Alligator mississippiensis: one gene and its partners. The protein of the gene in region 3 interacts with the protein of the main gene of each other region in a pairwise test. Links are inferred from orthologs where the notes say so. Each region holds a gene or a part of one and is shown on either strand. Other genes may lie near its edges.

Evidence for each region.
Region 1: the proteins of SH2B1 (region 3) and NTRK1 interact in a two-hybrid assay, tested with the Homo sapiens proteins (2 studies listed by BioGRID). The link is inferred for Alligator mississippiensis from reciprocal best matches to the Homo sapiens genes SH2B1 and NTRK1.
Region 2: the proteins of SH2B1 (region 3) and INSR interact in binary tests that used the Homo sapiens proteins (3 or more experiments, as listed by UniProt). The link is inferred for Alligator mississippiensis from reciprocal best matches to the Homo sapiens genes SH2B1 and INSR.

What each region holds. Positions count from the first base shown.
Region 1 is NC_081838.1:16,615,895-16,619,632, forward strand, and holds the start of NTRK1 (high affinity nerve growth factor receptor), read right to left. Parts: upstream 2,851-3,738; 5' UTR 2,840-2,850; coding exon 2,583-2,839; intron 974-2,582; coding exon 899-973; intron 589-898; coding exon 517-588; exon of another isoform or gene 498-516; coding exon of another isoform or gene 463-497; intron 1-462. UniProt on the Homo sapiens protein: Receptor tyrosine kinase involved in the development and the maturation of the central and peripheral nervous systems through regulation of proliferation, differentiation and survival of sympathetic and nervous neurons.
Region 2 is NC_081839.1:653,530-657,267, reverse strand, and holds the start of INSR (insulin receptor), read right to left. Parts: upstream 2,255-3,738; 5' UTR 2,054-2,254; coding exon 1,972-2,053; intron 1-1,971. UniProt on the Homo sapiens protein: Receptor tyrosine kinase which mediates the pleiotropic actions of insulin.
Region 3 is NC_081830.1:185,163-188,900, reverse strand, and holds the start of SH2B1 (SH2B adapter protein 1), read left to right. Parts: upstream 1-1,239; 5' UTR 1,240-1,324; intron 1,325-1,374; exon of another isoform or gene 1,375-1,491; intron 1,492-1,594; 5' UTR 1,595-1,812; coding exon 1,813-2,646; intron 2,647-2,832; coding exon 2,833-2,934; intron 2,935-3,041; coding exon 3,042-3,133; intron 3,134-3,405; coding exon 3,406-3,515; intron 3,516-3,738. Other genes in the region: ATXN2L (ataxin-2-like protein), read left to right, coding at 26-215, 303-352. UniProt on the Homo sapiens protein: Adapter protein for several members of the tyrosine kinase receptor family.

The DNA of each region.
Region 1 (3,738 bases), on a different chromosome or scaffold from region 3:
TCCCAGCCCCCCTCTTACCCAACCTCAGTGAGGCTGCAACCCCCATTGCCCCAGGAGGGGAAACTGAGGCACAGGGAGATGGAACCCCAGAGCACCTGCGAGGACCCCAGCCCTGCCCACCATCTGGGATGTCTCTCACGCCCTGCCCCCATGCAATGAGTGCCCCTGCTATTGCTCCCCTGCACCACCCACACAGCTACAAACACCCCAGAGAAGGGGGCACTTACAGAAGGGCAAAAGGGGAGCAAGATCTGCCCCAGCAAGCTGGGCAGGGGGCATCACCGGGGGCACCTGGGCCTTGCCCCAGCTCAGAGCAGCACTTCCCCCCGAGCTGCCTCCCCCTCCCCGAGCCCCAGCTGCCGGCAGATTGAGTTTTGCAGCCGGCATTGCTCTCCAGCGCAGGGACAGCTGTGCCCGATCAATCCCTCGCCCCACGACACACAGGGAGGGGGAGGCCGGTACCCGCGATGCACAGACGGAGGCAGGACAGGCCCCATCTTAGTCCCCAGGACTCACAGGTAGCTGAGCTTGGGGGTGGCGTGGAAGGCGTCCTCGGTGATGGAGTGCAGCCCTGAGCCAGAGATGGTACTACGAGGCAGAGGGACTGCCATGAGCAAGGGGAGGCCACACCCCCCACCCCAGCATCATGGAGGGGGCAATTTGGGGAACCCAGGAGGTCACGTGGATGCACCAGAGCCGGGTGCATGGGAGACCCGAGCACCTGCTGGAGCAGCCTTGAGGCGGCTCTCGATAGCCCCGGGGGCTGGTTCCCAGGGGTTGCATCTCCCTTTGCCCCCCCAGTCTCTGCAGGCTTCATGGGGGAGGTGTATTGGGACAGGGGATCTGCCCCCAACCCGCCCCCTTGCACACGCGCGTGTGACGCGCCAGGGATACTCACAGGTTCTTCAGCTCCCGGAAGGCCTTGATGTCATCCGATGTCAGGCGGCTCAGCGCCCTCTGGTTCTCGATGACCCTGGGAAGCAGCAAGGCCGTGAGCAGGATCGGGCCCCGGGCAGGGTGACAGGAGGCAGGCAGCGCTGGGGGCTGATGGATGGGGCCATAAAGGGGCTTCTTCCCTCATTATTCTGCTCCTCCCAGCTGCTCCAGGCCTGGATGGAGCATCTGTCCCCAGCCGCCGATGCCCCTGCTCTCACTGGGGTGGAGGGCCATGGTGCCTCAGTTTCCCCTGAAACCAGCTTGGGGCTGCATTAGGGCACTTTGCCAGTGGGGCTGTGCTGGGCGCTGGTCCGGGTCCACTCCACAGTGATCCATGTCCCATGGCTGGATTCCCCCTTTGCCTGTGGCCCACAAATAGCAATTCCCTTGCTCCCTGGACCCCCCCACCCCAAGATGTCCCAGCCTTGAACCCAGCACCATCCCCCCCGCCTGCCCCCATGTTCGGGCACCAGGCTCTGCTGCAGGGGTGGTGAATGACTCTTCCCAATGCAAACAGCATTGGGAAACCCCTCGATAACCTTCTACAAACCACAGAGGAAGGGAGAAGGGTCCCGATCCCCCAGACCCATGCGAATCCCCTGGGGCTCAGGACCCCGCAGCCCGGGGCGACTTTCCTGGGCTCCATCTCAGGGGCTGGGCCCTGGGTTTTTCCTGGGAGCCTCTGCCCCACCCAGCCTCCATCCCCGTGCCCGAGCAGGGTGGGGCAGCTGCATCACGAGGCTAGAGGGTGAGTCCTGGGTGCGGATCTCAGGGCCTTGCTCCTGTTCTGCGTGGCACCGCGGCCCCTTGGGTGGGATGAGCTGGGGGGTGACAGCTGCCTGGGGTAAGGGGGATGTCCCCTGGCATGGATGCATGGGGCTCAGGAGAGGCCATAAATGCAGCACACAAAGCCGCCTGCACGTGGGGCAGGCAGAGGAGCCCACTCTGGAAGTGCCCTGCCCCTCCCAGCCGCTGCGCAACAAAGGCCTGGCAGCGCCCGCCAGGTTCAGCCCCACCCCAGAAAGGGAAACCGAGGCATGGCCCCAGCCAAGGGGAGCTGGCAAGCCGGGGATGGGATTCGAGGGCCCAAAAGCCAGTGAAGGAACCCAAGTGTCCAGTCTCCCATAGACCTTGCGCCCCTCCCGGAGCTGGGAGCAGAACCCAAGTGTCCGGGCTGCCAGCCTCCCCCTTACCATGTCTGTCCCCCAGGGCACAAGGGGCTGGTGGTGGCCACATGCCTGGTGGTGCTGGGAGCTGCAGCGGGAAGGGGGGCTGGCTCCCATGGCCACCTCCCCACTACCAGCCCTGCCCTGCCCTGCCCTGTCCATCCCTGGCTTTGCCCAGGGTGGATGCAGGGTGGGGGGCAAGGAGCAGGAGCAACCCTGAGCACAACGCCTGGGCACGGGACTGCTCCCACGGCTCCAAGGTGGCCAGGGATGACGGCAGCCCACCCCCCAGGGCCTGAGCCTAGCTGGGGGTGCCCCTCCACTGCCGGCACGATGTCTCCTAGGGATGGAGCAGAGTAGGGGGCACAGACCAGGGGAGGCTGGCTGTGACCCCACCCTGGGCACTCCCAAGCCCTCCTGATCTCCTGGGTCTCCAGCTCCCCACCTGGCCTGCCTCCCCCACACCCCCGAGGTACTCACACGTCGGTGAAGTTCTCCGTCCCTGCCAGCTCTGCCAGGCTGCGGAGGCCACTGGGCTCCAGGCACTGGAGCTGGAGGGTCCCGAAGCACCTGCAGCCCCTGGGGCAGGGGCTGGCACAGCCCAAGGGCAGGAGCAGGCAGCACAGCGGAAGCAGCCAGGCGGGCAGCATGGTGGGCCCCGGTGCCCGGAGCGGGTCCCCAGCGCTCCGTGCACCTGCTGCCCGGGCAGGCGGTGGCCAGCATGGGTGTGCAGGCATCTGCCCGGCTTAAAGGCAACGGCATGTCCAGCCTTGCAGGGAGGAGCTTGTCAGAGCCCTCCTCCCTAGACAGCTGCAGCCAGCCCAGCCCAGCCCAGCCCAGCCCAGGCAGGAGCTGTCCAACATCTGGGCACCCCTGGGCACAGCCCCTGGGCACCAAGGGGAGATTTGGATTGAAGGGAGCATTGCAGGGAACAGGCCCCATTGCAAGGGAGTGGGGGTGTACAGCAGGGAAAGTGGGTCCAACTCCCCACAGCTGTAGGGGGATGAGAAGGGGGCTGCAGGTCGGCAGCGAGGGGCACCGGCATGGCTGGGCTGAAGGGATTGCAGATGTGGGGGCTGTGGGTCAGGAGTGAGGGGCACCAGCACAGTTGGAGTGGGGGGATTGCAGATGGGGGGACTGTGGGTCAGGAGTGAGGGGCACTGGCACAGCTGGGGTGGGGGGCATCAGCAGAGCAGGAGAGGAGCCCCCACCCCAGCCTGGGACCCATGCATACACGTGCACACATGATGCAGCTCCCCACAACTTCCCCCAGTGCCACCACAGTACCTTCCTCAGCTTCCCCCAGCCAGGCACCTTGGCGGTCTGAACCCCCAGCCTCCAAACACACAACTGTGCTCCTCGTGGCCTCATCCAAGCCCAAACCCACAGCACTGCCCTTGCCATGGGGCCTTGCCCCACCTCCAACACACACAAGCCACCTGGCTGCTCCCCAGAGGTGGCTGCATTTCAGCCAAGGGGAGGCCTGGCTGGCTGCATTCTGCACCCCCACCCCCCTGGGGTCCTGAGCTCTGCTCCTCTGGGACCCTGGCTGAGGCCATCGCAGAACCCACAGGCTATGCTCCGGGGTGCTCTGAGGTCACAGGTCAGGACCCCAAGCCAGGGGGCTGCATTTAAA
Region 2 (3,738 bases), on a different chromosome or scaffold from region 3:
CTCCGATGTCAGACTGTAGGTTTCAAGGTAGTGTCTAATGGGGAGAACTACGACTGACACTTGGCTTAACGGCGAACAACAAGCCCTAACGACTCGCCGCAACAGGCTCCGGCCCATATCCAGAGTCCCGCATAACCCAGCACTGCACATGAAGACAATTTGTTTTGCTGACTGGAGTATTTAAAACCTGCTCGCGCGTGTGGATAACAGCAGCCATTCGGATCAGCCTAAACCCCTGGCACTTCCCTGCACTTCTGGTTTCCAGGAATCGTACGTGGGAAGGGGGCCGAGCTTCTATAAACGACGAGCGAGTTTCAGTCCGGTTTTCACAAGTGCTCGTGGCTCTCGAGTGATGGTCTCCACCCTGCGGAGACGGGACGTGAGGCAGGCACTGGCCAGGGAAGACCTCAACCGGAGGGGCTCAGACCCGGGGTCCGGCCCGTTTCATACTGTTTTAACAAACACGATCTAAGAATGAAACACCAAGGTTTAGTTTTAAGCACTGTTTTCCTCCCGTTAGCGAGGCCTGGGCAGTGAAGCATGCTCAGACCAGGCTATGATGAAGGTGAGAGTCTGTTTATATGCCCCTGGCCTCCTCAGATGACCTCTCTCAGGCAGCTGCTGTCTTTATTCCTGGGCAAGGGGAAAAAAACCTCTGCTGAGCCAAGGCCAATCCTCCTCCGACAAAGAGACTGCTTCTTCTGTGCTGGTTGCAGACTCCGCAGCCCAGCCCGAAAGGCTCAGCTGAGCCCTGGGAGCTGCTACCGCTTTTAGGGTTGTCGGAGAAATAAGAACGCCTCTGTTACGCTCGTCTCCGTGAAAGCGAAGGGCAGGCCGGAGCAACGGGCATCCCCGCGTGTACTGGGCAAGGCGTTCGAGAGCCGGTCCGCCGAGGGCCACCCACCCCACCGAGCCCGAGGCAGGGCAAGCCCGACAGCCCTTCCCCGCCAGCTGCCTCCGGGCTCGGCAGGTAGTCCTTGGCCACACGGGCTTTTCATCCCGCCGCTCCCGGTCCGCCCGCAAGCACAGCGCGCCGAGGGCAGCGGCCCACGCTACGGGGACGCTTCGAGGAGTCCCACGAGCGCGCCGAGGCAGGCTGGGATCAGAGCGATGGCGACGGCCCGCCTTAACCTCCAGGGAAGGAAGCTTTCCTCCGGACTGAAACTCCCCGTACAGCCAGGCCGCGTGCAAGACTCTCGTGAGAAGCTTGGCGAACACAAGACTGCAGCGACACGAGTCCAGCGCGGGGATCAGGAGCAACCCGTGCGCGTCCCTGCGGCGTAGACTCTCCCTGCCGTCCGCGACGCGCGCGGGACGTCGCGCAGGAGACGTGTGTGTCAGGGCAAGGCAGGCGGCAGGGGCAGCCGTCGCGCCAGAGCTCGCTCTCCAGAGTGTCGTGCGTCAATTTGCACAAGAGCTCTGTGCGCGTGTGGGCAGGCGTGCGCGCTGTCGCCCTCCAACACGCTCAGGTCTTTGCATTTGAGAAGCTGGCTGTTTTCAACCCACGCCGCAGCCACCTGTAGCCAGCCATCCCAAAGCCTTCAATGCGGGCCCTCACCTTCGGAGAGCTCCCGGTGCCCCGAAACACATGGGACCGACGGGGAGAGGCACACGGCGCTGCCGCGGGCGGGCGGGCACCATCGCCCCTCGTCTCCCCACCTGTGCGCGGCCGGCCGGCCGGCTGGCCCGGAGCAGGACACCGGCCCCCGGGCCCGAGAGCGAGCGAGCGAGCGAGCGGCAGCGCCGTGTGTGCATGGACCTGTGCCGGGGTGGGGTGGGGTGGGGTGGGGGCCGCGCCCGTGGAGCAGGGCGCCGGGGACAGTGCGGGAGCCCGCGGCCCGAGCCCGCCCTGACCCACCGCGCCGCGGGCTCAACACCCGGCGGCGGCCGCTGCGCTGGTGGGCCCGGCCCGGCCCGGCCCGGCCCGGCCCAGGGACGCGCCGCCGCCGCCCTCCCCCGGCCCGCACTCACTGTCGCCGCGGCCGTGTCCACACCAGGCCCCCAGCACCACGGCCACCGCCAGCGCCGCCGCCGCCGCCGCCCGCGGCCCCATGGCCCCGCCGCTCCTCACAGGCCGCGCGCCGCGCCGGGCCGCCGCCGCCGCCACCAGCACACCCGCATCGCCGCCGCTCCGCACCGCACCGCACCGCACCGCTCCGCTCGGCTCGGCCGGGCTGCGCGGCGCCTTCCCCGCGGGCCGCGCCACTGCACACGGGGCGCCCCGTCAGCCCGCGGGCCGCGCCAAGAGGCGGAGCGGAGCCGGGCGGAGCGGAGCCGAGCCCAGCAGGCCCGGGCGGGGCAGACCCAGCCGCCTCCACCTGCCGCTCCCAAGCGGCCCCGCCTCCGCCTCCGCCTCCGGCACGTGTGCGGCCCACGGGCCCGGCCCGGGCTCCCGCAGCGGCGCGAGGCGGCCCGCAGCCCCCTCCCGCCTCGCCCCGGCCCCGGCCCCGGCCCCGGCGGGGTGCGAAGGGTTGTGCAGCGCCGGGCTCTTGCTAGACCGAGTCCCGCCCGCCCGTGGGCCCGCGAGGCCGTGTGTGGGCCGGCTGGCACCAGCGCGTTGCCGCTTGCTGGCGGGAGCCCCGGCCCGGGCCTGGCCCCGCGTGCTGCCCCGGGCAGAGCCGCGCTGCTGCCACGCTTCTCCCCGAGGCTACAGGCCGAGGCCGAGGCCGAGGCCGGCGGGGGCTGCCTTGTTCTGTTACTTCAGGCGTCCGCCTCCAAGCCCCTCCCGCCAGCGCCGGCCTTGCTCCAGCCAGGAGGGGCTCCGGCTCCGGCTCCGGCTCCAGGCCGCCGGGAAGGGGAAGGGAAGGGCAGGGCGCCCCGAGGCCGGAGCAAGCGCCCGCGCTGCGGGGGTGCTCGCCGCCCCGGCCCCCTGCCCTCAGGGAGTAATCCGTCTACCACCAAGCACGGAGCAGTTTGGGGACAATCCTGTTCCTCTTTGTTCTATCTAAAATGACTGCTTCTTGCTGCAAGCGAAAAGAAAAATACATGCTAGCTCCATAGCAGCGCAGCGGTGCGCACGCCTGCGGTTCAGTCTACGAGAGCGCCCGGTCTGAAGGCCGGTCCCCAGGCGGGCTCCCCACCCCACCCCCGGCACGGCCCAGCAGCGCAAGGCCCAGCGCTGACCGCCGCGGCCCGCGCGCAGAAGGGGCGGCGAGGCCCGAGGGACAGAGCAAGACGCGCCCTGCCGCGCCGCGGCCCAGCCCTGTGCGTGTGATGGCAGGACTAGAGCGCACCTGATGTTGCCCGCTCCGAACCGTCACAAAAACCACCCTCAAAGCACTTTCATTTCAGATTGTTCCAGTTGCAGCCTTTGATCTGGGCTGAGCCTTTTGTGTTCACAACAAAGCACGAACCAGGAAGCTCGACGAGACTAGTTAGCCCAAAGAGCCCAGGACTGAAATCTCTTCCTGAAAACAGCACGGAGGGGAAAGCAAGGCCTCCAGCCGCGCAGGGATCACGCCGCGACGCGCAGCGGAGCTGCAAGGGCCCTGCCAGGAGCCGGGACACGCAACACGTCGCCTCTCCCCGCGTCAGAGCGCTGCCAACAGCACCAATAAAGCAGCTCAAACATGCGAAGGAGGGCCGGGCAGCGTTAGCTTCTCACCTCAAGGCTTCATCCGAGTCCGTCGAGCCCTCTTCCGTAGCCGCCCGTTTCCGACCAGGCTCCGTCGAGGCTGGCTCCGACGGCAGAAGCTACAACCAAAACGACGACAGAAAGGAGAACGGCGGCACAGCCGA
Region 3 (3,738 bases):
ACTCACGCTCTCCTCCTCCCCGCAGGCCCATGTGCAGACGGGGCTGCCGGCTGCGCCCCCCCCACACCCCGGCGCGCCGCATCCGCCCCAGGTGATGCTGCTGCACCCACCCCAGACCCATGGTGGGCCCCCGCAGGGTGGCGTGCCCCAGAGTGGCGTGCCCACCCTCTCAGCCTCCACCCCCACCCCCTACACCTATATTGGTCACCATCAAGGTGAGTGGGGCTCTGCCCGAGGGTGCCTAGGGGGCTTTCTGGCCTCCCTCTGATACCCACCACTAATACCCGCTTCTCTTCCCACAGTTCAGTCCCACCCGTCCCAGCAGCTGCCATTCCATCCCCCTGGGAACTGACGCCTCCGGTCCTGGCTGTGAACTGAGATGTGTCCAGTGCAGCCCGGCCCAGCCCGGCCCATTGCACTGGGGGAGCAGGGGGCACCACCAAGCACCTTTGGGGGGGAGGGGGGAGTGGCGTTTTTAGAGGTGGGGCTGGCGGATGTCAGTCACTGCCCCCCTGCGGCTGCCCCCATGCCAGCCTTTTATTTCCTATAATTTATAAGGGGGGTCAGGCTGCGGCGGGTGCCGCTGGGGGGCCGTTGCTGTTGGGAGTGGGGGGCGGGGTGGTCCTGTGGGCTGTTCTTGTTTTTTTGGGGTTTCTTTGGGTTTTTTGCCCCCCCCCCAGCTCCCTGCTCCCCATGCTGGGCTGGGCCGGGCTAGGCCGGGCCAGGAGCTGCAGCCACGGGAACGATGCGCCTGGGCCTAGTTACAAAAAAAAATTAAAAAGGGAAAAAAAATACAAAAAAATGTAAAAAACCGAAAAAAATTAAAATTTTAAACTAACTCCAGCTCCTGCTTCGCGCTGCTTTGTGTGTGTGTGCGCGCGCGTGTGTGTGTGTGTGTGCTTGTGTGTGCACGTGTGCAAGGTCCTAGGGGCTGTGGAGGACTGCCCTGCAGGGGCCGGCTCGGCCGCCGCTCCGGAGATCGGCCCTTCTAGCCGCCGCTCGACCATGGCTTTTCCTTGGGGGGGCGGAAATGTCCTGGTCACACCATGGCGCATGCGCGCGGCGGCCGGCCCGTGTAGGCCCACCCCCGGCTCTGGTTCCCGGCCGCTCTTCTGTCAAGGCATTCCTGCCTCTCGGTGGTGCAGCGCTTTCGCTCTGGTACCAGCGAGGCTCCTCTCTATGGTCGCGGCGGCTGCCGGAAGCCGCTCTATCCCGCGGCTCAGCTCCTCTCCATGGTGCCGGAAGCCCCGCGACCCCGCCTGCGCCAAGCAGAAATGGCGTCATCAACCTGGAAACGCTGCTGTGCAGCCCCGCTGGGGATAAGGTAACCCGGAAGTGGAAGTCGCGGTGGGTGCTGGGAAGGGAGGAACCCGGCAGCGGAAGCGGCGGGTGGGCTGGGTCCGGGCCTAGACCCCCCCCTTCCCCCCACGTCCCCCCGCGCCCCGAGCCGCCGCCGACACCCGCGAGCAGCCGCAGCCGCCGGGCGGGATGGTGAGGGGCAGGGGTGAGGGGCACCGCTGCGTGGGGCTGCGGGCGGGAGCGGGGGGCATTGGGTGGGGAAGACCCCTCTTGTGTCCGTGTGTCCGTCCCGCAGGTGAGCACGGCCTTCGCGCCTCTCTCGGCACTTGCAGCGCCAGCACCAGCACCAGGCTCCGCAGGGGCCGCGTCCACGTTGCTGCCTGCGCCCTCGTCCTCGCTGTCGCGGCGGCGGTGGTGGCCGGCGGGGCCCTGGCGCCCGGCCTGTCCCGGGTTGGCTGCCGCAGGAGCCGGCACCGGCGCAGGGGGCGCAGCAGCGGGGGCAGCGGGGGCGTCATGAACGGCGAGGCTGCGGGCCCCGGCCCCTCGGTCCCGGCCCCCTTGGCCCTGGCCCTGCCCCCGCCCTCGTCGCCGGGCTGGCGCGACTTCTGCGAGGCTCACGCCCGCGCTGCCGCCATGGACTTCGCCCGGCGCTTCCGCGCCTTCGTGGCCGAGAACCCGCGCTTCGCTGCCCCGGGGGCCGAGGCCGCTTTCTCCCGCCGCTACGCCCAGAGCTTCCTGGAGCACTTCCAGGCCGAGCTGCGCGGGGCCGAGGCGCCTCCCTCCGGCGACCCTGCTGAGACCTGCAGCGACTCGTCTCCGGGGGAGCTGGCGCCTGCCTCCGGGCTCTCCAGCAGCCAGTCACGCAGCTCCGAGGACGTCTCCGCGGCGGCCGGCGTCCCCCCACCCAGCACCAAGCCCAAGCTGAAGAAGCGCTTCTCCCTGCGCAGCGTGGGGCGCTCTGTGCGGGGCAGCGTGCGCGGCATCCTGCAGTGGCGCAGTGCCCCTGACACCCCCCCGCCCACAGCTGCCGGGAGCCCCGAGGACGGGGCTGCCGGGGGCAGCAACACGAACTCAAACTCTTCGGGCGGGGCAGAGGGGGAGCGCTGGACCCACCGCTTCGAGCGGCTGCGGCTAGGACGGGCTGCCCCTGCGCTGGGTAACAGCCCTGCCGCCCCCGTGCCCGCTGTGCGCCGCGAGGGACTGCTCAACTACATTGTGGCTGACGACGGGGCCGGGGCGGGGGCCGGGGGGCGCCCCCCGCGCTGGCAGAGGTGCCGGCTGCTGCTGCGGCAGGCAGGCAAGGGCGAGGGGGAGGGCTTCCTGCTGGAGTTCTTCGTGCCTCCAAAGGTGAGGGGCCAGGAAAGGGCTGCGGGTCGGGAGCGAGGGGCGCCGCTGTGGGTGGTTAGGGAGCTGTGGGGCAGGAGTGAGGGGCACCAGCAGCACTTGGAGTCCCAGGTTCTTTTGGTGGGAGGCTCCCCTCTCGGCCCTCGGGGCTGTGGGGCCGCTCACGCTGATTTCTCTCTGTCCCTACAGTCGACTAAGCCGCGGGTGAGCGTCCCTTGCAGCGCTGTGACGGCCGCTCGTGCCACCACGCCCCTCGAGATGCCTGACCGGGAGAACACCTTCGTGCTGGAGGTAGCGGGAGGGTCCAGTGTGGGGGCTTTGTGGGGCAAGGAGGGTGACGCCAGGGGGCAGTGGAGGTTAGGGGTCATGGTCTGACCCCTATGTGCCCCCTGCGGCAGGCAGGGCTGGCAGGCGAGTTTATCCTTGAAACCGTGGATGCACTACAGATGCGCTCGTGGCTTGTTGACATCCAGGACTGCCTCAGCCCCAGGTGAGTGCCGTAGCCCCGGTCCCTCAGATCTTCCTGGGCCCCCGACCCATTTTAGTTCCTCTTCCAGATCCTGACACTTTTCCCTTTGACTTCTCCAGGAGCTTTCTGCACTCCCCAGGTTTCTCCTGGCCTTCCTTTCCCCCCACCCCCGCGCATACCACTAGACCCTTGCACAGGTTTTGGGGTCCTCTCTGGCGCTGGGGCAATGCTGGGTGGGCGGGAGTCTTATGCACATAGATGCCTCCATGCTTACAGCGGTGTCCTGTTTGCAGGGAGGAGATGGGCAGTGCGGACCCCCCGTTCCTCAACCACCACACAGGGGGGCTGCCCAGCCGGGACCCTCCCCTGGTGCCCAGCGACAGCAGCGAGCAGCTCTCCCAGGGTGAGTACATGCCCTCAGTTCCCAGCAGTGCCCCACACTTCTGTCCTCTGGCCCCCCACAGCCACGCTTCTCGTTCCCAACCCACAGAACCCCCTCCCAGCAGCACTTTTTATTTCTAATCAACAGCCTCCCCCAGCGATGTCTCTCACTTCTGACTTGCAGCCCCCCAATGCTATTTCTTGGGGTGTCATGGGGGATTACACGTGGGCACTCATCTCGTCCA